Coturnix japonica: one gene and its partners. The protein of the gene in region 6 interacts with the protein of the main gene of each other region in a pairwise test. Links are inferred from orthologs where the notes say so. Each region holds a gene or a part of one and is shown on either strand. Other genes may lie near its edges. The genes, in order: NUP54, TRIO, SYBU, EXOC2, GOLGA4 and EXOC1.

Region 1 (4,113 bases), about 14 Mb from region 6:
GGGGAAACCCAAGCACAGGCCCAAGCTCCACCACAGCTCCCAAAAATCTTTGCATTTGTCCTTCGGACCACACCATCTCTTTGCTAATGCACCATCTGACCCAATGTGCAGCATATGGACACCTGAATAGCCCCGTGTTTCAAATCCTCCATGTTTCTGACCGATTTTACACACATTTAAATGAAGATGGACAGTCTAGTATATACAATGTATCAAAACAAAGCAATGCTGCCAGTTCTCATTCACGTGTCAACAGCAAAAAAGAAGCCTGTTCAGACCTACTGCACTTACCGTCTTGTATATACATACAAAATAAAGAGCTCAAATCAAAGCTGATGTGCAGCCACATTTTATTTTAATTCAGCAAACGACACAACTAAATGTAAGAGCTGCTCCCTGAAACTTCCAGGTTTCAGTCCTATCAGCACATAAGCAACCCTAGCAGCAACAGCAGACGACACAATTTTTAGACAGATTTGTGTTCACAGCAATTTAACACCCTTTCTTAGAGAAGGCTCTAAAAGTGCAAACTACTGAACAAAATAATATATCCAAGTTCTCTTGGATTAGTTACAATTCAGCTCAAGAAATACAGTCCAGTAGCACTCATACCCAGTTAAAAACCAAACCAGATCCCTTGAGCTCACAAAACAGGTAGGAGTATTCTAACACAGGGAGTGATGATGCCGTGGAATGAATATAACTCCTATACGAGCAGCGGCAACAAGAACCAAGGGAGAATTCCATTCAGGAAAAAGTGTGAGAAATCCATATAGTTGAGCAATTTTGTTTTAACAAAATGGGACAGACTTAGCTGGAAATTTATCAGCTGGTTACTCAGAACTGATGAGCCTACATGGGGCTACAAAGGGTTTTCTCAACAAGCAGTCAGCACACACCATGCTGGACAAAACCCCCCCAGGGAATTACTTTGCTGGGACATGCTCCACGTCAAGAGGCAGAACAGTTTTAGGAATGGAGGTAAAAGTGAGAGCTGTTCATTTTATTGCTGATCGTATAAAATTTGTTTCTCCACGGAAACAACTGAAGTGCAGCACATTCATGGCAACCAACAGAAGGCCGATGAGGAGACATGGGGAGGATGAAAACCATGACTGCAGCAGTCCAAGAATGTCACGTGAGGAAATGAGGCATTAGGGACCAGCTCTGCAACAGTTCTGATGGCCCAGACCTAAAGGCAGAACCAATGTTTCAGTTCTGCTGTGTGATTGAGACTCGATTTTGGATGGGATAAGGCTAGCAGGTTACTGTGATTCATCTCCAGTTCAGTGTCTAATCAGCCATGTGGTCATTTTTCCTTATCAGCTACTTCTGGAGAATTTAGTAGGCAAAAATAAAAACCCTTATAATTGCACGGCTCTATAACTCATTCCACTACAGAGCTTTTGCCTCCAGTCTTCACTGTATATAAAGGAAGTTCAGCACAGATTCTGAGTCAGGAACGCAATTCTTGGACCTCTGCTATTCACATTTATTACAGAACAAGTATATGTGTAATATCTACCTGCACTTGCCAGACTGTTACCAAAATTGAATGGCGGAGTTGAGGTAGTAGAAACACCGAAATTCCCAATATTAAAATTCACTGCGGGATTAGCAGCTAATCCGAAACCCCCAAAATTAAACCCACCGGCGGTGGAGTTTGTGGTTTCAAGCCCACCAAATCCTGACAAGCATGAAGCAGAAAGAGAGCAAGGCGGCGTTAGTTCTGCAGAAAGGTAGGTTCGGAAGTAACAGCTGACATACCGTTTTGGCACTAAAGACGAGGCAGGCATAGTTAATAACGAGAGTAAGGCATTAACTGGCACCAAGCACGAAACGCTTAGCAGCTAAAAGCAAGGTTTAACCCCGTTCTCCCCACGTTGCTATTGGGATGGCGTTCCTGAGCCGTATGGCACAGTAAGCCCAGTGTCGCCCTGCAGCCCGCCGGCGGGGCTGGCTCCAGCCGCACTCACAGCCGGCCCTTCACGGCTCTCCCTCCATCCCCACGCGGAGGCCCCGCACTCACCGCTAGGGTTGGAGGCCCCGGCGCCCGCCGCCGCCCCGAAGTTGAAGGCCATGAGGGGCCGCAGCGGCGGGAGGCGTGCCCGCAGCCCGCACCGCCAGGAAACAACGGGTGGTGCTTCCGGCCCCGTCACTACGGCGCTTCCAGACGGGGCGGGCCGCCATGCTCCGCCTGCGCCATAACGCGCCGCCAGGCGGTCCAGCACAGATACTGCGGGACGGGGGGCGGGCGGAGGGTGACGGAGAGACCGGCCTGCTGTAATGACCGCCCTGCTGTAGGCCTTTCGCCATCGGAAGCGCTAACGTTCTCTTAGAACTTTCTCGCCTGTTTACCGAGAGAAGCTCAGACAGGGCTTGGTAATGTGGAGCCTAAGTAACGGTGAGCATCGTTAGCCAGCCCAGTTAGAATAAAACTTGAACGAGGCACCCACAAGGCAAAAAAAACCCAACGAAGCAAACCAATGGAGAAAAACAAACAGGATAAACCCCGCTATACCTCTGTGTGGAAGAAAATGATACATTTTAAAACGTGTGTCACTGTCTACATCTAATGGAAACGCGTCTCAATTAGAATGCTCCATCAGTGGGAAAAGTCCCACTGCTGGGACTGGTTTTCATAAAGCAGCTTCCACTTGGCGAGGAAAAAATGCTGAGAGCTTTTCCAGGCCTTGCACGTACCTCAGGCTGGAGGTGTGTTTTGATCCCAAACAACAAATGTCACCAACAAACCCGTGTGTACAAAACGCACACTGCTGGTAGCTGAGATACCACCAGTGAGCAAAAGCACACCTCTGCTGTGCCTTACAGCAACACCATGCAAGTTTGGTTTGCTTTCTCTTTTTCAGTTGAAGGGAAAAGAACCCCATGAACTTTAAGGATATCCCCTACAAGCAATGGGATCCCATGCAGGGTTAGAACAGCTACAAGGTCTGAATGGAAGAGCACTCCCAGGGGTTGGCTTCTTTCTACCTGCTAGCACCAGGTGTTTAAGGAATTCCACGCAGCGGTTTGGATCAGTTGTACAGATCCGTTCTGTACTTTAATACCAAACAGTCAGTGCAAACCGGCAGGAAGCAGCGCGCAGGACTTTACAGAAAAGACAACAGTGAGGCTACAGGAAACCGACAGGTGTGTGAGTGACACAGGAACCTGCTGCATCTCTACAAGGGTTCTTTGCAGCCCACGCTCCTAAGGCCATTTGTAAATGTTACCCGTCGTTTCTGTAACGAATCAGGCCGTTTTATTTTCACCGAGGAAGTGGTTATGATGGTCTCTGAGTGTCAGTGCAGGTACGAGAGAGTGCGGGGCTGAAAAAAGCAGGATCTCGAGCAGTTTTAAAATGTAGTTCAGTAGTTGTAACTTAGCTGCTAAGAAAAGTCTCCTCCCCTGACGACAGTGCAGATTCTCTTCCATCTTTGAACGTTACACTTGACACGACTGTTTCTCCACAGTGGACAACACTGGGTAGTGGTAGCTGGTATTAGGTAAGCTCTAATGATTTATTCTCCAAGCTCACGTATTTAAGAAGATCTACTACTATGTCCTGATGAGCGGGGACCTTTCTTCTTCAGTGCTCTGAAAGAAAAAAGTTGCAACACAGGAAGATTGAATGTGGCACATTAGAGAGCTTCCGTGCAGGGAAGCTAAATTTCCTAAACTCCAGAGAGGAAAGGAAAAAGCTCTTGGCTCCTACTTCTAAGTGCAGATTTACTTAAGGGAACCCTCACTGTGCAAGGGAGGTGCTGGAGGGTGGATGGCAGCTTTGGCAGGTAGCAGCACTGGGATGATGCAGAGATGTTCCAGATTTCCCTGTGCATGTGCAGAGGCAGAAGTGAGGCAGGGGGGAGTGGAGGAAAAGGGCCAGGACGCACCCCATACAGGGGGCTGCCTGCTCCAGGTGACACGGGCATTCAGCATACTGATATATACATACTTGACAGCTGAGATTGCTCAGGCTCCCTGTAGTACTTTCCATGTGACCACAGTCACCCTGCATCACAAAGATAGCTCTGATTGGCAGAATCACTTTTATGTTTGCAGGAAAAGCAACAAAAATAATACAGAGAAAATATGAAAAGCAGGTGTCCC
Region 2 (3,500 bases), on a different chromosome or scaffold from region 6:
ACAGAGGTTAGGCAATCAAACACTAAAAAACTGCTTCCATATTCCTGAAAAAAATAACAGCAATTACAACACATCTGTTTTTCCTTCTTACGGGTGACCTTTACGTATCCAAGAAACCCTATGAAGTAACCCTAACCATATGTGTGTGTAAATATACACATACAAATGAATACACCAAAATAAACCTTCGTGACCCATCTTCTCTAGCCTGCTGAATGCAATGTGTAATCCTGCTAAAATATGGGCTGCAAATGGAGTTATAAATGAATAATTGTGACCCAGCTAAAAGAAATGCAGCAGTGAAGCAGAAGGCATGCATTCGGACTTTGTTTTGCAGTGACAAAAAACCAAAGGCACCTTTGCCAACAGTATCAAAATTCAAATGTTTTGAAAAATTTAGTGCCTTCCTTTCTCTCTTTTTTTTTTTAAATGCAATGACATCAATGCTATACAAGTCACAATAATTGTGAAACACGTTGATAACTGCAGCCAATATATTACCATCATACTTTGCTAGACTGAAGATAAACAACAAGACAGAGCTATATCAAATGAAAAGATGGAATATCAGGATCAAAATATGATACATGCAAAGCATTATTTTTTCTTCTGAAGCTATTATAAAGGTAAGTGTCAGGACTAAGAAGAAAATTCTCTGTGTTAAAACAGTTCTATAAAGAAATGCATGCACTTAAAAAAAAAAAAAAAGAATGCCAAGTTAGGTGATTTGCAAAATTGCTACTACATACGATTTGTGAGAGAGTGGAAAAACAAACATTGAACACAATACTTAGTGAGAAAAGAATCAAATGTGACTTTTAACAAAGGCACCATAGCCTGCCCTATGATATCCATGGCAAGTGCCTTGACAGTTTTGCTTATGTTGCACATGCCCTGTGATCGCTGTGTTACATTTCCTGGAAGACATCATTACAAAGTCTGCGGATTCATTTGACACCCTCCCCCCCAGATTTCTGCACGAACATGCCAAGTACATACTAAAAGGTTGAATCTCCAGGTGCACTAAAACAGTTCTTCTTACAATGCAGAAGGGAAAAGTGGAGCCGCTATTTGTTTTGATTGTAGCAGAAGAACAGTTGATTACTTTAGCTAGGCTTTGATTGCCTTTTTTGAGTGGACCGTAGGAAGCTTCTTTGACCAGGCATAAGATTTAAAAAGAGAATACTGTATATCAACTAATGCTGAAAGGAGGAGTGTGTGGGGAAATAAATACAAAATAATATCAAGCAGCCCAGGGACTGTTTGGTAGATGTCTCAACGAAGTTAAAACTCAATGGACAGCTGGCGGTGGATTTGTGCGTGACAGGGAATAAAGCCCCAAGACAATCTGCCAAAATCTCAAAAGTCAGATGTAAATGCTGGCTGCAATGCATACCCCAAGGTGCTCTGGTTGCTGCGCTTCAGCAAGTTAATTATGTGCCTTCAAATTAGAGAAGAAACAGCAAGGACAGCAAGTTAGTAAGGATCAGCCTAGTGATCTATGCTTTCAGCAGAGGCAGAAACTGTATCTAATGTTAGCAGTTGTTTGTGTGTCTGTATACATATCACCATCTACATTTTTTATGTATACACACACAAAGAGGCAGATAATTTTATTTTTTAATGTGCAGAAGACACCGGAGCAGTTGATTATTTCAGAGCAGTAGAGCGCCGGAGAGCCAGAAGTTAGTACGGAGAGTGATGGCAACGCACAGGAAAGGAGCATGGGAAGGTTTTAGAAGAGCTTGCAGGACAGAGGTGCTCCGCTCTTACCCCATTACTCTGGGTGGAGTGAACTGACTGCTCGCTGGTCGAGGAGCATGTGCTCATGCGGTCTGTGTCCTTGCTGTGTGAAGAGTGGCGGTGGACCTGCCGCTGGAGGGAGTCATTGTCCCCAGGGAAAGTGAAGGAGCCAGGGCGGCTGGCAGGGGATGCTGGGATGGAGCTCCAAAAGGAGCCCTTCTGCAGGGGGCTGCTGGGTGGAAAGGTTTCTTTGCCAAAAGGAGAAGGGAAAGTCGTGGAGAGAGGAGAGTTCATTGGTGAGATTGCTCCTGGCCTTGGCTTCCCCAGCGTCAGTGATCCTACGCTGCTTCTTGAGCGACTTTCCTCTGAGTTTCCACGTGAGTCTTTCTGGGCTCCGTCAGCTGAGCCAGAAATGTTTCCCGCTGTCTTCCTGGGACTCTCAATAACTTTCATCTTGGGAATCTGCTCAGCTTCTCTCTGAGGACCGTCCGGTTCTGCACTGGGAGGGTGCCTGTCTGGCTGGCTCAGGCCAGTTTCTAAGGAGGTGTTGTAGTGTGGCAGGGAGAGATTGTGAATGGACATACCTGACATCTTGTCTGCCTCTGCTTGGGCCGAGGTTGCAGAGGAGACCAGGACTGGGGAATGGTGTCTGACAGGCTGGGGGATCCGGGATGGCCGGCTACGGCTGGAGGTGGGGATTCCACTACAGCTGCTGGGGCCGCTGCTGTTACCACTGCTGCTGCCGCTGCCACCTCCACCACTGCTGTGGTTCCTCTGGTACTCGATTGGAGACGTCAAGGCTGCAGTGGGGAAGGGAGTGGAGGTGATCAGGGAACAGAGAGCAGGAAAGGGAACAGAAATAGTTCAAGCAGACTTTTTTTGTGACAAAAGGAGAATGTGTCTCAAATGCGAAATTCCCTTATCAATGCCAGTCACGCCATAGACTTCAAGTCACTTTTGTATATTATACCTTTAATGACTTGCCATATATCACCTGCTCTCTGTTAAAGACAGAAAAGTTAAATCCAGGCAGAAATGTCTTCCTCCAGATCGCACTGTTGGTCAGTAGCCAAGATGGGCAAAAAGAGATATGACTCTCAGTGTATTGTTCTACCCATTACAACTCTAGATCAGGGCAACAAGCTACGGATACAAAAACATAGCAAGAACCTCCCAGTAGGAAGTATCCAAAGGATATCATCATGGTCTCCTGCAGAACCTGACTGTTGATGCCACAAGTAAGGTGGAACAACAATGACCAACAAAATAACAAATGGAAAACAGATTCTGAACAGATACTTAAAACTGAACTGGTATTTAGCCTTTAAAGGCTTGCATTTGGTTCAAAGGTTACACAGACTCTTCCCATCAACTGATGGTGTCTCTCGTAATTCAATTCTACAAAACATTTGGAACATTTCACCAAGTAAACAACACATAAATTCAGACTATCACTCTTACAAGAAATGCTAGCATCTGTTCTAAAGCAAAAATTCAGCAAAACCCGCAACTGTTCTGTATTAGTTTAGGAAAAAGGAAACTTGCAGAGCATTTCAAAGGAAAGAAAACAACAGATGAGAGAGAATTCACTCAACTATGAACTTTTGATGAGAGCTGATGATTTACCATTTAAAAAGTTGCGCTGGTTTTCCAAAATTTGGTTAATTTCATGGATCCACAGCTGGCGGACTCCTGGACTGGCAGAATGCAAAACAAAGGTCTCCGTGACATCACCCGTTCTTGATGTTAGTGCAAAT
Region 3 (2,362 bases), on a different chromosome or scaffold from region 6:
AAATATTTCATAGACATAAACATTCAGAACAAGAAACTGGAATCTTTGCTGCACAGCATGGAGATGGCTCAGAATGGCTCTCTGCGGGATGAGGATGTGTCTGACACACCAGGGAAGCCATTGGCACTGTATGCCAGGTTGCCAGACACCCTCATCACGGAGGAGCAAGCTTTGGAGGTTGATAGTGGGGTGCTTCTAAATGAGGACATAGCTAATGGGAATGATTCGTTTCAAGAGACTTTCAGCACAGCATGTGTTGAGTCGGCTGATCCAGCTTTCTTCATTTCTGTCATGGATCAAGAGGTGCTTGAAAGTGTTCCTGATGAAAAACTAAGGTCTCCTAGGAAGGAGGAGAGGAGCGGCATCGTGATGGTGGAACAGTCTGTCCAGACTGATGTGGTGCCATATAGCCTCAGTGTGGAGCGGCTCATTCAGAACATCTTCGGATCTCAAGATGTCTCTCCTCTGAGCCCGCCTTCCTCACTGAAGGAATTGAGTGATTTTTCTTCTGGAAGCTTCAGTGATTCTGCTATAGTAGTGGACTTAACTCCAAGTGATCCAAACTCTGCTATCCTTTTGTCTCCTATGGAGTCTCCATGCAGAAAGTTGGATTTCGGAGTTGATGAAAATCACGTCATGAAAGAACTTGATTTTACGGAAACGCGTGATGAAGTGTTCGGGTATGTGAATACTTCCTCTGAGACAGGAATAATGCAGAGGCACTGGAGTGGAAGTCTCCTTGTAGATGTCCTGGCTGTAGCAGCCCCTGTTGTACCCACTGTCCTGTGGGCATTCAGTACTCAGAGAGGAGGAGTAGATCCCATTTACAATATTGGAGCGTTGCTTCGTGGGTGCTGCCTGGTGGCCCTGCACTCATTGCGTCGTACAGCCTTCAATATTAGAGTCTAAATTCCACTGTCACTGGGCACCAATGGGCTGAGGTAGAGAGAGGGGGATGAGAGATACAAAGAGATATTGTATATTATGGCAGAGTCCATTGTTTTGCTCTTGAATACTTGATTTGCACTATAAATCGGTTCAAAAACATGTTCCTTGTTTCCAAATGAAGAAGGTTGAACCCTGTAGTTCCGCAGAATGTTTTTAACTGACATAACCCAGTACTGCTACCTACAGAAGTAGTCTTCCTGCTCCCAGTCACCCTCCTTCTGCTGGTGTATTTCTCAGGCCAGCACATCCACACAGTAATGGGGATCAGGGACAGCCTCAAGGCTGAGTTAGCCTTCATCTCCCTTTTACCCAGCCAGTTCACTGTGCAAATGCACAGACACTGTGCTGTGCCTCACGGGCAGCGTGAGGTGCACATAGGAACAAAAGGCCAGGGAAAGGTGGGGTATTTCTGTAGGCAACGGTAACAAAGCATTTGTGAAACTACAGTGTTAAGTAACACGGAGACTCGTTTCCACTAAGTGTTCCACACATGTACTCTAAAAAGCATGCTAGCGCTCGCCATTTGTTGTCTGAAGCTTCAATCCAATTTAAAGAAAACAAATGTATTTCCCTGACAGCTTCCCGCACATCCTTCATGCCTGTCTTGTGTAGTGCTCTTCTAAATCCTGCAACTGCTTGAGCATTCCACCAGTCTTGTGCGCATACGGACTGCAACCAAATGTCCAGTTCTTGGGAGTCTTGAAACTGTTAGGACGATAAGTATAGGCGTGGATACACTTTGAATAGTAATGTTGTTTTAGAGTCTTAATGTATTGGAACCTGATAGTCATTTGAGCCCTGTGAAACATCATCTGTAAATGTATCGTGTTTTAACTTATTGTTTATTTAACTGCTCTACTGTAAATTACCTTTATAACCACAAGTTCAGTAAAGCATGTTAGAAATGTTCAAAATCTTTCGAGTGTTTTATTGTAGCAAAGCTATTAAAAGATACTCGATTTCAGCTGGATGTCACACGTGCAGAGCAGGAGGAGGCACCATATAGAGGCATGAGGAACTGTCCGCATCCTGAAGAGAGTTTAAGAGAGAACAGCCCCAAGAGGGAGCACCACACAGAGGGCTGTGCTGGGTCAGTGATGCAGCTGCCGCCTCCTCAGCTAATAGAAGCAAGCCATCTAATTATTAACTCAATGCAATCCCAACTTGTAGCTTCTCATCTCTGCGCTTCCAGAAGCGTATCAGGCTTCCTGGCATTTCATAGAAACCTAGAAGGCTTTGTGTAACATGGCTGAGAGCCACAAAGTCCCACTGTATACACTGAGATGCACTGTGGCCCTCAAGTCATAAACTCTCCATGCCCTAAACTTGAGGTCTGCTCCTAAGAGAAGGCAACATCAGCCAGCAGGTGGATGCAGCGGAGTTGGCTCCATGCAAACCTCCAGCCACTGAAATC
Region 4 (3,378 bases), on a different chromosome or scaffold from region 6:
GAAATTCAGTTTATAATTTAAATGAAATGCTTGATCACTTTCTGAATATTTTTGTTTTACATAAAACTTCTGTCATGAGAACAATTATTTTTCAAAGAGTGAAGGAAGATATAGGAACTTTGGTTAATCTTTGACTTCATTGTCTACCATTATGTATGGTGGAGAATGGTGTAGGTGAAAATCATCATAGGATCACAGAAAGCTTAGGTTGGAGTGGACCTTAAAGATCATCTAGTTCCAACCCCCTGTGATGTACCTAGACAAGCTGAACCGTGCAGGAGTGACATCCTCAAGCTTATGTGCCCACCAGGTGACAGACAAGAAGCAGACCAGAACCATTCTACTTCCTCATCTAGTGGAAAAAAAATTCAGCAGCAAAGCCAAGAATAAAACATATATTGACAGACTTTTGTACTCCTGTTTCCTTCCTCCCTGGGCAAGCCATACAGTGAAAAGTCAAGCTCGCTGTATTATTTTTTGTTTTATTTTGCTGTTTTTAAGGTAGCATCCCTCTCCCTTTCTATCACAGAACTGAAAAGACAGAGCAAAATCAAAGCTTTGTTACTGTTACTGGGAGACAAACCAATGTTTTTAGGCTGTTTGACTTGAATCAAAAGTATGAAATTTATTGCAGTCTCCTAACTGACGAAGCAGCGTGGCAACCAGAAATACAGGAAATGAACTGTTACAGGCCAAGGCTACTCACTGCTGTAGCATGTTTTAGTTTTTGCTTCTAAGAAAGATGAAGGTTTGGGACAGTGGTGTTCTCTTGATCAGAAGACGTTATGTCATTGTTTCAGTACTTGTATTTCTGTCTTTAGGCAAGACTTGAAATCTGTGCTTTGAGGGATACGGTGGCCATATATCTAACTCCTGAAAGCAAGTAAGTTCTGCTACATTTTCTGCTGTTTTCACTGTAATGGAATCCTTTGTAAACATGCAAAAATACATGATGTAAATTAAGGATTTTCAAAAGATTGGTTCAGGTATGTGATATACTACATGATATACTACATATGTATGTAGAAAATTAATTCTTCTAAAGGTTTATCAGTTGATTTGAATTTGTGAACACAAACCAGGTATTCCTCATCCTTATCAAATGAGAGTTGGAAAAAAAACAAAACAAAGTTCTTAGTTGACTTGCTAAAGAAACTGTTGTTATAGCAAAAGCAATTGACACTGAGTTTCATCCCATTTATCTTAAAGCACACTACCAAGAGTCTGCCAGCCACTTCAGGGAGGGTGTAGAACCAGAGACTAATAGGATCCCCTCATAAGGACATGGAGAGTAGGGCTTTCCACAAGCTTGTATATTCTCCTCCTTTTTGAATGAAAACCTTCAAAAGGCTTTTAGCAATTTGTCAGTGAGGTGCAAGACTGCAGATAAGTTCTGGAGGACATGCTCACGCATACAGCATTATAATGGGGAAGGAAAGTGTTAGCAGCATACAGTGGTTGATGTAGTCAAGGCATGTAAAAATACAAGTCATGAAAGCTGTCAGCAGTTTTGAGTAAAGCTGGTTAATTGAAGTTTCTGAGTGAGTATTTTTGGGTCTGGATATGGGTGTTTTCATTCATTGTTTTTTCATTTGTCTAAGCTTTTGTTAGGATTAACATTACATGCTCCCACAGATTGTGATTTAGTCTTCTTATCTGATTAGTATTTTGTTGGAGACATTACAGGACTTGAGGCCCTGATATGTCTTTATATCACACATGGTATTATTCTATGGTGTCATTGATTTCAATTTCAAAAAAACTTGCTTCCCTGTTCTGAGTGTTTGACAGTGACGTAGACCTAAATGTAAGCTATTTGGCACCAGCTCATATTGAATAAAATGAAGTTGCTGTTGTGAACTGTGGAAGATGGAGCTTCATAGATGTCTCTTTATTTCTGGGCTCTTCACTGGTAGTAGTTGTCCTAAAGTCACCATTTTAATTTTGTAGAGGAAGATTAAATCAATCTGTGCAGGAATTGCATCATTCCCTGCACTTCTATTCCACATCTGCTGCTCAGAGAGGTGTGGAACTGCCTTCCTTGGAGATGCTCAGAATTTGACTTTGCCTCAAGAAACCTCCTGTTTCCTCAGAGTTGTCCCTAATTTGAGAGGATGTTTGGACCAAGAAACCTTCACTGTGTTCTAGGTACAAGGCAGGCTAGCAACTATCTATAATTCTTCAATGGTCTGCATTGTCAGGCGCTGTTTTAAATCAGTGGCAGATTGAACATTTCCTGTTTGCATCTGTTGTACTTCATATTAGGATGAGTTGAGAGACCTGCTTGAGCCCATGGCCACTTTGTTTAATTTGCACATGAACATCAAGTGCTAAGTTAACATTTTGTTAATTTAACTGAAAGTTGAGACTTGTACCAGGGGAATATGAATATTTTTGTTTTCCTTGCAGCTCAAGCTTTAAGCAAGCTTTGGAAGCCTTGCCTCAGCTCTCAAGTGGAGCTGACAAAAAGTGAGTATACTGCACCTTCTTGTCTTTCTTCTGCTTTCTGGAGCCACTTTCATATCAGAGCTTTACTAGAAGAGGGCTAACTTATACTGTATTTGACCCTTTAGATTTACAGTGTAGAAGGATCTTCAGACAAGGTTAAAAATTACCTATTTAGATAATTCTTGTAATTCATCATATCTCATTCATTATATGGCCTATTATTTATACAGAGGAGCCAATGGCTTTGTAGCATATGTCACTTTCTCATTCTAGTCTTATCAATTCTCTGTACTTTTATATTTATTTTATAATTTCAGTTCATTTTAGCTTTCCGTGCTGATTTTAGTTTCTGTGAGGTCCATTGTCTTGTCTTACTGAATTTAACAGCAATAAAGAAAATACCAAGTAACAAAGTGCAAGTTTTCAGTGGCTGATATTTAGGCAACTCTCAAAACTGGCTTGCTTCATTTTAGAAACAAGAAGAGTCTTTTGTTCTGTCTTAACATCAGGAGGAGGCATTTGGGGTTCTTACTTCCCCACCACAGCAAACTTTGAGAACCAAGCTGCTGCACTGCACTAAGTACAGTATTTGTTAGTTTATTTTACAAGAATAGCTTAATACAGAATAATATGGTAAAACTAGAATGGATTTGTCTGAAGTATATTAGAAAAAAAAGTTGAGCTTCTTTGTACGATCCATGATCCACAAACGGTCTTCTCCCAGATATCTTTTGTATTCAAAACTACCCTTCACATGACATAAGAAGTCTAAAGATACCTTCTTGCTGCCTTACTTAGCCTAATTAAACACAGGAATCAGTTTTGAGACAGTTCTTTCAACTCGGACTTTCCACAAAACCTGTAGGCTTGTTTGTTTTTTGATTTATATTTTCTCCTTAGTCACAAGGACAGATGAGAATCAAGAACTCC
Region 5 (3,500 bases), on a different chromosome or scaffold from region 6:
AATTACATAGAGTGCAATCTCCAGGACAAATACATACTCACACAAATATAAACATCTTTTCATCAAAGCAACTGAAGGAATGCTTCCTACCTGTAAATAATATGTACTAGTCATCCATTACAGTACAGTCTCAAGGGCTGGCTGAAGTTGGAACATAGCCGACAAAGTTTGTTATTGTTGTTAGGGTTTATTATTATTATCATTTTCTTGTGTTTAAGTCCCTTGCAATTCAAAAGTGTAATATCCAATAATATATATTTTTATTTAATGATTTCTAACAGACGCTATTAAGGTAAGAGAGCCATCCAATGAGCCACAGGCCTAAGAACAGAAGCTAACTAGTGATTCTGGTGGTTGTTTTTGGATCCAGAATTTGTATTTTTAATAAAATGGGAGTTAAATAGTGAAATAAGAAAAGGGATAAAAAGAAAGAGGAATCTTCTAAGGACAAGAAGTCCTGTGTAGACCAAGATTTATTCCATAAGGAGCACAGTTAACACAGAACCCTGCATAAAACCTTTTTACTTAGCAACTGTCCAAGTTGAAAGCAGTACAACAAAGAATGGAAGAACCCCAGGGAAGAAAAAAAAACCCTATATTCATCCACATCCACACAGCATTTGTCATCCAAGAAAAATGTTTGTGTTACGACATACCTCCTTTGAAGCTGGTCTTAGCATCAGTATTGTTACAAGCTAGTAAAATTCCAACATAGGAATGATTTCACAAGCTTGTCAGCATACAACAAGGAGCCTACTGTGCAGCTTTTCTCTGCTTTTAATAGTAGGTTAATACTAACTAGTGAAGGTACACAGATTTGGGAGTCTTATAAAAGATCTTTAAGGAACAATTTGAAAAAAAAAAACAAACAACCCTTCATCTTCAGAGCTTGTAACAGGGTAATACAACTGTAACTTAATCATATTTGCAACAAGATAACATCACAAAAGTAGTTTGCTAATACAGTGCATATCAGCTTTCAAAGTCCAGTAAGCCTGACTGACATTAAGTCTTCTGCTGGTAAAATAACACCTACCTGGAGGGCTATTTGTTTCTGTAAGTGCCTTGGTGAGAGATGTGACACACACTCCCCCTCCCTGGTGTTCTCTCCTTTCACTCCCCCTGTGTTTTATCTCAGCGTTCCAGAGAAGCTGGTAAAGATACATGTCTCTTTCTAAGAAAGCCCTGAAAGTCCATTGAGTCTTTTTACACAGACAGAAAATGCATGATGAATTGCCATCATCATGGCACTTAAGATCAATACAGCAAGGAACGTAACTTCATTCTAACCCACATCACATCACTGTATACAACTTTCCATACCTTTGTCTCACGACCCATCATATATTCAAAAAGCACTTTCCTCAAGTATTCAAACTCAGTGGGCTCTCCGAAGAGAGAAACGTCAGTATGATGAAGATTTCCATCTGTGTAAACAAAAATAAGTATATTTATACTAAGAGTAACTCATAAGAATGTAAGTTATTCATAGTCAGAAAGTCACTGAAACAAAATGTAATCAAGTATGAAACATGGGCGTAACAACCATAATTATGCCAGATGCCTAAAACCTACTCAGAGCAATTTCCTGAAGCATAAAACATAATGGATCAGCACAATTAAAAATCCTCAACAACGTACTACTCATGAAGTTTCGTTTTTAGCTTTAGCTGTCTTACAGACTAGGTGTAAGGCTGGAGATACATACATGGAAACAAAAAAAAAGGAGTACAAAGTTAAGAAAAAAAAAGGCATTGGTGAATATGCTAGGAAGTTGTATACCAAACTATGACTACCTTCATCAAGTTCTGCAAAGACAGCAGTGAAGAATAACTTTTCTGAGGAATATTTATAGAGAATAAACTAATAGTTTAGCTTTATTCTCACCAAGATGGAAGATAGAAAGATTCACAATTTAACATAAACCCAGCATCACAGGCCAATGGCAAATTAAATTAGGTGTTGGACTAATTTGGATACAAGTCTTCAGGGAAAGTGGAATTTTGATAGAGAAGAAATGGTCCGCAGAGAGGTTAAAGATAATAATAAAGTGATTTGCTTAAAGTAACTCCTCAAGACAACTTTTTAAAGGAGTGCTCTTAATAAATATGGATACAGGAAGAAAAGTAACAGCACGGTAATCAAGGTGTCAGAGCAGATCTTGGAAAGGGCATTTAGTTATAAGAATAGCAAAAGTCCAAACATGCAACACAAGAAAGCTTTGTGAAATCTAATGATTGCATATTTAAGATTTTTTAAAGAGTCAAAAATTGTATTCAGTTAAGCTAGGGTATAATTCCCCTCCAGCAAATTTTCACTGAAACTGCCTCTATCAATTCCCCAGAGATAACAGATTGCTGATACAGAGCTGTTTCACTTGTAAGATAAATGTTTCAAAAAAACCCCAGATATATTAATGGATTCTCTAAACAAAAGCATATCTTTCAAATAAACAAACTTGTGTGATGAAAATTACATGCATACCTCTGTATGGTGTTCCAACTGATGTGACATACATTTTCTTTTCATAATTTTTTAGTCTGTCTTCCAGTACATGAATCTAGACAGAGATGAGTCATGATCAGAACTGTTGAAGTTAAAAGTAAGCATAAGAAGTTCCAGCTAAACATCCTGAAATTCTAGTAGAGCAATTTGCCCTCAAATAAGATATTAATAACTGTGCCTAACTAAAGAAAATTGTGTACACGTGCATATAGACACACCAAAATATCTATACACATACATATTCATATACCTATATTCATGTGATATATACATATATATACATACATATACATATATTAAAACACAGATATAACATTATTTACTTATTTTACCTAAAACCAGAAAATCTAGTTTAGAAAAAGTGGGAAAACATAATTTCAAAAAGGACATTTGTAAATTTTCATTCTGCAGATGTTTTTGATAACCTGCACCACTTATATTTGGTATTTTCATACCCTGGGGACCGAGAAGTATTTTGACAATGTGCATAGATGTATGAGCCAAAACTATTTTACATGTATTAGTATTATACTTGCTGTATAGAGCTGTGCTACATCATCAGTTGAAAGGAACCAATAGTTTCAACTGCAAGTACAAATAATCAGATGATGTTTTTTCCTTTGTTCAAACAGTGCCCTTACCTGCTCCCTGAACTCCTGCTCTTTCAACTTTGAATCGTTGACTAGCGTTGTCTTCTGTGCAAGCTGTGCCTGAAAGAACAGCCACATACAGAAAATTTCAAAAAACTCCTGAACATACCACTTTAATAAGCTTTTAAGCTTTACTTTTTTTTTTTAACTTTCAATTCACACGAACTTATAAGCAGTGCTGCTAGCTTCAAAGTGATGTGACATAGCATTACATAGAAAACGAACATTAAAAAAATAAATAAATCAAAACTTACCTGAAGTTCAGCTATTGCTACCTAAAAGAAAAAAAAAAAAAAAAAAAAGGATGAAAACGTAGGTATGAAAAAAGAAAATACTAAATATCTC
Region 6 (3,056 bases):
GCTCTATTCCCACCTCCCCCGTCCCTCTCCCTCCGACTGAGCCTTACCGACACGCTGCTGAAGGTAAATCCTTCCAGGGCAAAGCACGGAGGAGCTGCCGAGCCGTGTCACCGATGTATCGGCAGAGCCCGGAGGAAACACGGTCCCAGCGGCCGCCGGGCTGCTCGGCCCTGCCCGCGCTCACAGCGCATGGGGCGGGAGCGGCCTGTACCGCAGCGGGAGCCCCGCAGCCCCGGGAGGCCCCGGCCCCAACGCCGGTTTGAAAATGGCGCGCGGCGCAGCAGCCACTTCCGCCTTGTTACCACAGCAACGCGGCACGGCCCTGCCACACAGCCCCGCCCCTGTCACGAGACCGTGACATCATGTTACATCACAGCCGCTAAAAGGAAGGGAAAAATTATTGAGAAATAGAGCGGCGCTACGGCAGTACACACAGACAGCGCCATGGAGCTGCTCTGCATTGCCACCATAGGGACATTAACACACCACGGAGACATAAAGAATGCGATGGATAGATTTAATCAAGGACAGCCGCCCGCACATCACATCATTCCCACTGCCCAACATCCCACACCCACACTGTCTGCAGTGAGGATGGGAAGACATATAGCAGCCGTTAATCCTCGTATAATCTCCAAGACACAAAGCATTAGTGGAGATGGCAGTGCCCTTTTGTGTACTACACAGGTAGTGCTTGCTGCTTTTAACAAGGACAACATTATTTTAATTATAAATAACAGCATTTGAGTGTTAGGGGAGGGGAAAAATGTATACAAAGTGTTTCATAGATTAATGCTTTCAAACAGTGTTTCAATGCAGTAGAAGAGCAATGAATGACCAAAGGTTTCATTCTGCCCTGAAAGACAGTTGAAGCACATACATACACAACAGTTAGATGTATATACACACCGAAATGCACCTTTTAAAAACAAACAGCGACTTTAGTGTTTGATTCCCTTATAATACAGACACAGACTTTGCTAGCTTCTCTGTCCCTTTATAGAACCTTAATGAGATTGTGCAATACTGGAGCAGTAGTCTAAAATATCCTGTATAGTGAATTCCATAGTAATTCCTGATCCAGGATAGCAGCGAGCTATCAGCCCTTCAAAGTGCTTGTACTGTCGTATGAACTCATCTTGCATTGAATGCCACACCACCTGCCAACAAAAGCAGATTTTAGCATATGACAACTGGTACAATATACTTACTGCATTAAAATCTCTCAAAGTTTTTTACCCATCAATTTTCTGAAAGATCATTAATATTTACATCACTCCTACCAAGTGCATTACAAAATAGAAAAATAAAATGAGGTCACTTCTCTTCACAGAAAACAACCCAAACCAAGCCTGCATCCATATTCACACTTGAAAGTTTACAGAATGTAACAGAAGATCTGAATGATACGCTACCAGAAAAAGTCAAGCTGAACTATGTTCTACTGCAGCGTACAAGCTAAATTTCATGCCAAGTTAATGGTTCATTTAAATCTAGTTCTTTCTATTTACATCTTACTTTGCAGAATAGAGATCGTTCACTAATGTGTACATTAGTGAATTAGCAATTATTGAATTAACTAAGGAATCACAGAAGGATTTTCTTTCAGAACCATACCACCTTACTTGAAACCAATCTCTTATGATAATCTGTGATTTTATTTATTAAAAACATACAAACCACCCGAAAACAGTTTAAAATTCAGTGTTTTTCAGTATTTTGCTGAAGCCAGGCACATCTCTTCCATCACATAAAAGAAAAAATAAAGGCCTTTCTGCAAGCATACAAGAGATTTTTAAGCCATGACTTAGTTTACCTGAAGTAAGTTTTCTTCTTCACAGAGATGTTTGTCTACCTTCTTGTAAAGATTATCCAATCCCTTCTTGACTTCTTTGCCAGGATACTCCTTTATAACTTTGCGAAGCTCTTGTTTATTAAAAGCCAGTTGATAGCTCACTTCTTCTTCTCGTATACCTTGGGCCACGCGAGCTTCAACGCCTTCAAAAAAATGCTAACAAAACAATAATACTATTAATGATTGTCATAAATACAAACTAATTAAATGCTTCTCAAACTCTACCTTCAACAAAAATGTGGGGAACACACAACAGTTGTTCTGTTTAACAGAAGTTGTGCTCAGCCATAAACATTAAAGAACAGCACACTAATGCAGTACTCGGTAAGTAATAAGGTAAAAAGAAATTAATCATCAATAGAAGCAGTCAAGCTTTCAGATACACTTGTATCTAATACTGAACCAGTCTCAGACTCCTAAGTTAATGTGACCATAGCTTGAGTTAACATCGGATCTTTCAGATAAACTGGCAAAGCATTTGAATTGGAAGTTTTCTACTTAAATCATAACAATACAAGAGCAGTATTATTATTATTATTTTATTATATTTAGTTCATTATTGCCCTATTTTCTCAAGATTCCTCACCATGTAGATCAACATAATAAAAACTGAAAGAAATATGCTTATGAATGTGCATGTAGAACTGTAACATCACTTGAAGCATTGCATTGGCTCTGGACAAGACAGAATTAATTTTCTTCATAGCAGCCTACATGGTGCTGTGCTTTGGACTTGTAGCTCAAACAGCACTGATAACACCACAGCATTTTGGCACAGCAAGACTTTCCACACATGTCCTGTCCTCCTCTTGCCTCCTCCATAGTAGTCTGGAGATGGGCAAGAAGCTGGGAGGGGACACAGCTGGACAGCTGAGAAGCTCCTAAGTGTACTCTTTAGCATACAATGTAATACTCAGCAATAAAAAGTGCAGCTAGAGGAAGAGACGCTGTTTGTCCTCAAGGGTGGCTGTTGTTCAGAAAGAGGTCAACCCACAGAAAGTTAAAAGTGGTAACAAGAAGTGCGAACTAACCATAAGAGAAAGTTGTATATGTACTTTAAAATTATGTAGGGTAGTATATAGCTAGAATGAAGTATACTTACATTTAATTTTTCAAGAGGCTGTCCAAGTGAGTAGACTACATAAGACTGAAGATGTTCGGTGTATTTCAGTTTGGCTTCTTTTTTCTCAGCTTCAAGACA

What was found.
Region 1: the proteins of EXOC1 (region 6) and NUP54 interact in binary tests that used the Homo sapiens proteins (3 or more experiments, as listed by UniProt). The link is inferred for Coturnix japonica from reciprocal best matches to the Homo sapiens genes EXOC1 and NUP54.
Region 2: the proteins of EXOC1 (region 6) and TRIO interact in a two-hybrid assay, tested with the Homo sapiens proteins (2 studies listed by BioGRID and IntAct). The link is inferred for Coturnix japonica from reciprocal best matches to the Homo sapiens genes EXOC1 and TRIO.
Region 3: the proteins of EXOC1 (region 6) and SYBU interact in a two-hybrid assay, tested with the Homo sapiens proteins (2 studies listed by BioGRID and IntAct). The link is inferred for Coturnix japonica from reciprocal best matches to the Homo sapiens genes EXOC1 and SYBU.
Region 4: the proteins of EXOC1 (region 6) and EXOC2 interact in binary tests that used the Homo sapiens proteins (3 or more experiments, as listed by UniProt). The link is inferred for Coturnix japonica from reciprocal best matches to the Homo sapiens genes EXOC1 and EXOC2.
Region 5: the proteins of EXOC1 (region 6) and GOLGA4 interact in binary tests that used the Homo sapiens proteins (3 or more experiments, as listed by UniProt). The link is inferred for Coturnix japonica from reciprocal best matches to the Homo sapiens genes EXOC1 and GOLGA4.

What each region holds. Positions count from the first base shown.
Region 1 is NC_029519.1:44,543,178-44,547,290, reverse strand, and holds the start of NUP54 (nucleoporin p54), read right to left. Parts: upstream 2,801-4,113; 5' UTR 2,082-2,800; coding exon 2,030-2,081; intron 1,688-2,029; coding exon 1,526-1,687; intron 1-1,525. Other genes in the region: SCARB2 (lysosome membrane protein 2), read right to left, coding at 3,562-3,600. UniProt on the Homo sapiens protein: Component of the nuclear pore complex, a complex required for the trafficking across the nuclear membrane.
Region 2 is NC_029517.1:54,045,804-54,049,303, reverse strand, and holds part of TRIO (triple functional domain protein), read right to left. Parts: coding exon 3,370-3,500; intron 2,544-3,369; coding exon 1,774-2,543; intron 1-1,773. UniProt on the Homo sapiens protein: Guanine nucleotide exchange factor (GEF) for RHOA and RAC1 GTPases. Involved in coordinating actin remodeling, which is necessary for cell migration and growth. Plays a key role in the regulation of neurite outgrowth and lamellipodia formation.
Region 3 is NC_029517.1:119,514,168-119,516,529, reverse strand, and holds the end of SYBU (syntabulin), read left to right. Parts: coding exon 1-909; 3' UTR 910-1,862; downstream 1,863-2,362. UniProt on the Homo sapiens protein: Part of a kinesin motor-adapter complex that is critical for the anterograde axonal transport of active zone components and contributes to activity-dependent presynaptic assembly during neuronal development.
Region 4 is NC_029517.1:62,068,069-62,071,446, forward strand, and holds part of EXOC2 (exocyst complex component 2), read left to right. Parts: intron 1-821; coding exon 822-883; intron 884-2,409; coding exon 2,410-2,469; intron 2,470-3,378. UniProt on the Homo sapiens protein: Component of the exocyst complex involved in the docking of exocytic vesicles with fusion sites on the plasma membrane.
Region 5 is NC_029517.1:77,612,169-77,615,668, reverse strand, and holds part of GOLGA4 (golgin subfamily A member 4), read right to left. Parts: intron 3,431-3,500; coding exon 3,410-3,430; intron 3,216-3,409; coding exon 3,147-3,215; intron 2,561-3,146; coding exon 2,485-2,560; intron 1,428-2,484; coding exon 1,324-1,427; intron 1-1,323. UniProt on the Homo sapiens protein: Involved in vesicular trafficking at the Golgi apparatus level. May play a role in delivery of transport vesicles containing GPI-linked proteins from the trans-Golgi network through its interaction with MACF1. Involved in endosome-to-Golgi trafficking.
Region 6 is NC_029519.1:58,584,654-58,587,709, forward strand, and holds the end of EXOC1 (exocyst complex component 1), read right to left. Parts: coding exon 2,958-3,056; intron 2,012-2,957; coding exon 1,817-2,011; intron 1,161-1,816; coding exon 1,008-1,160; 3' UTR 501-1,007; downstream 1-500.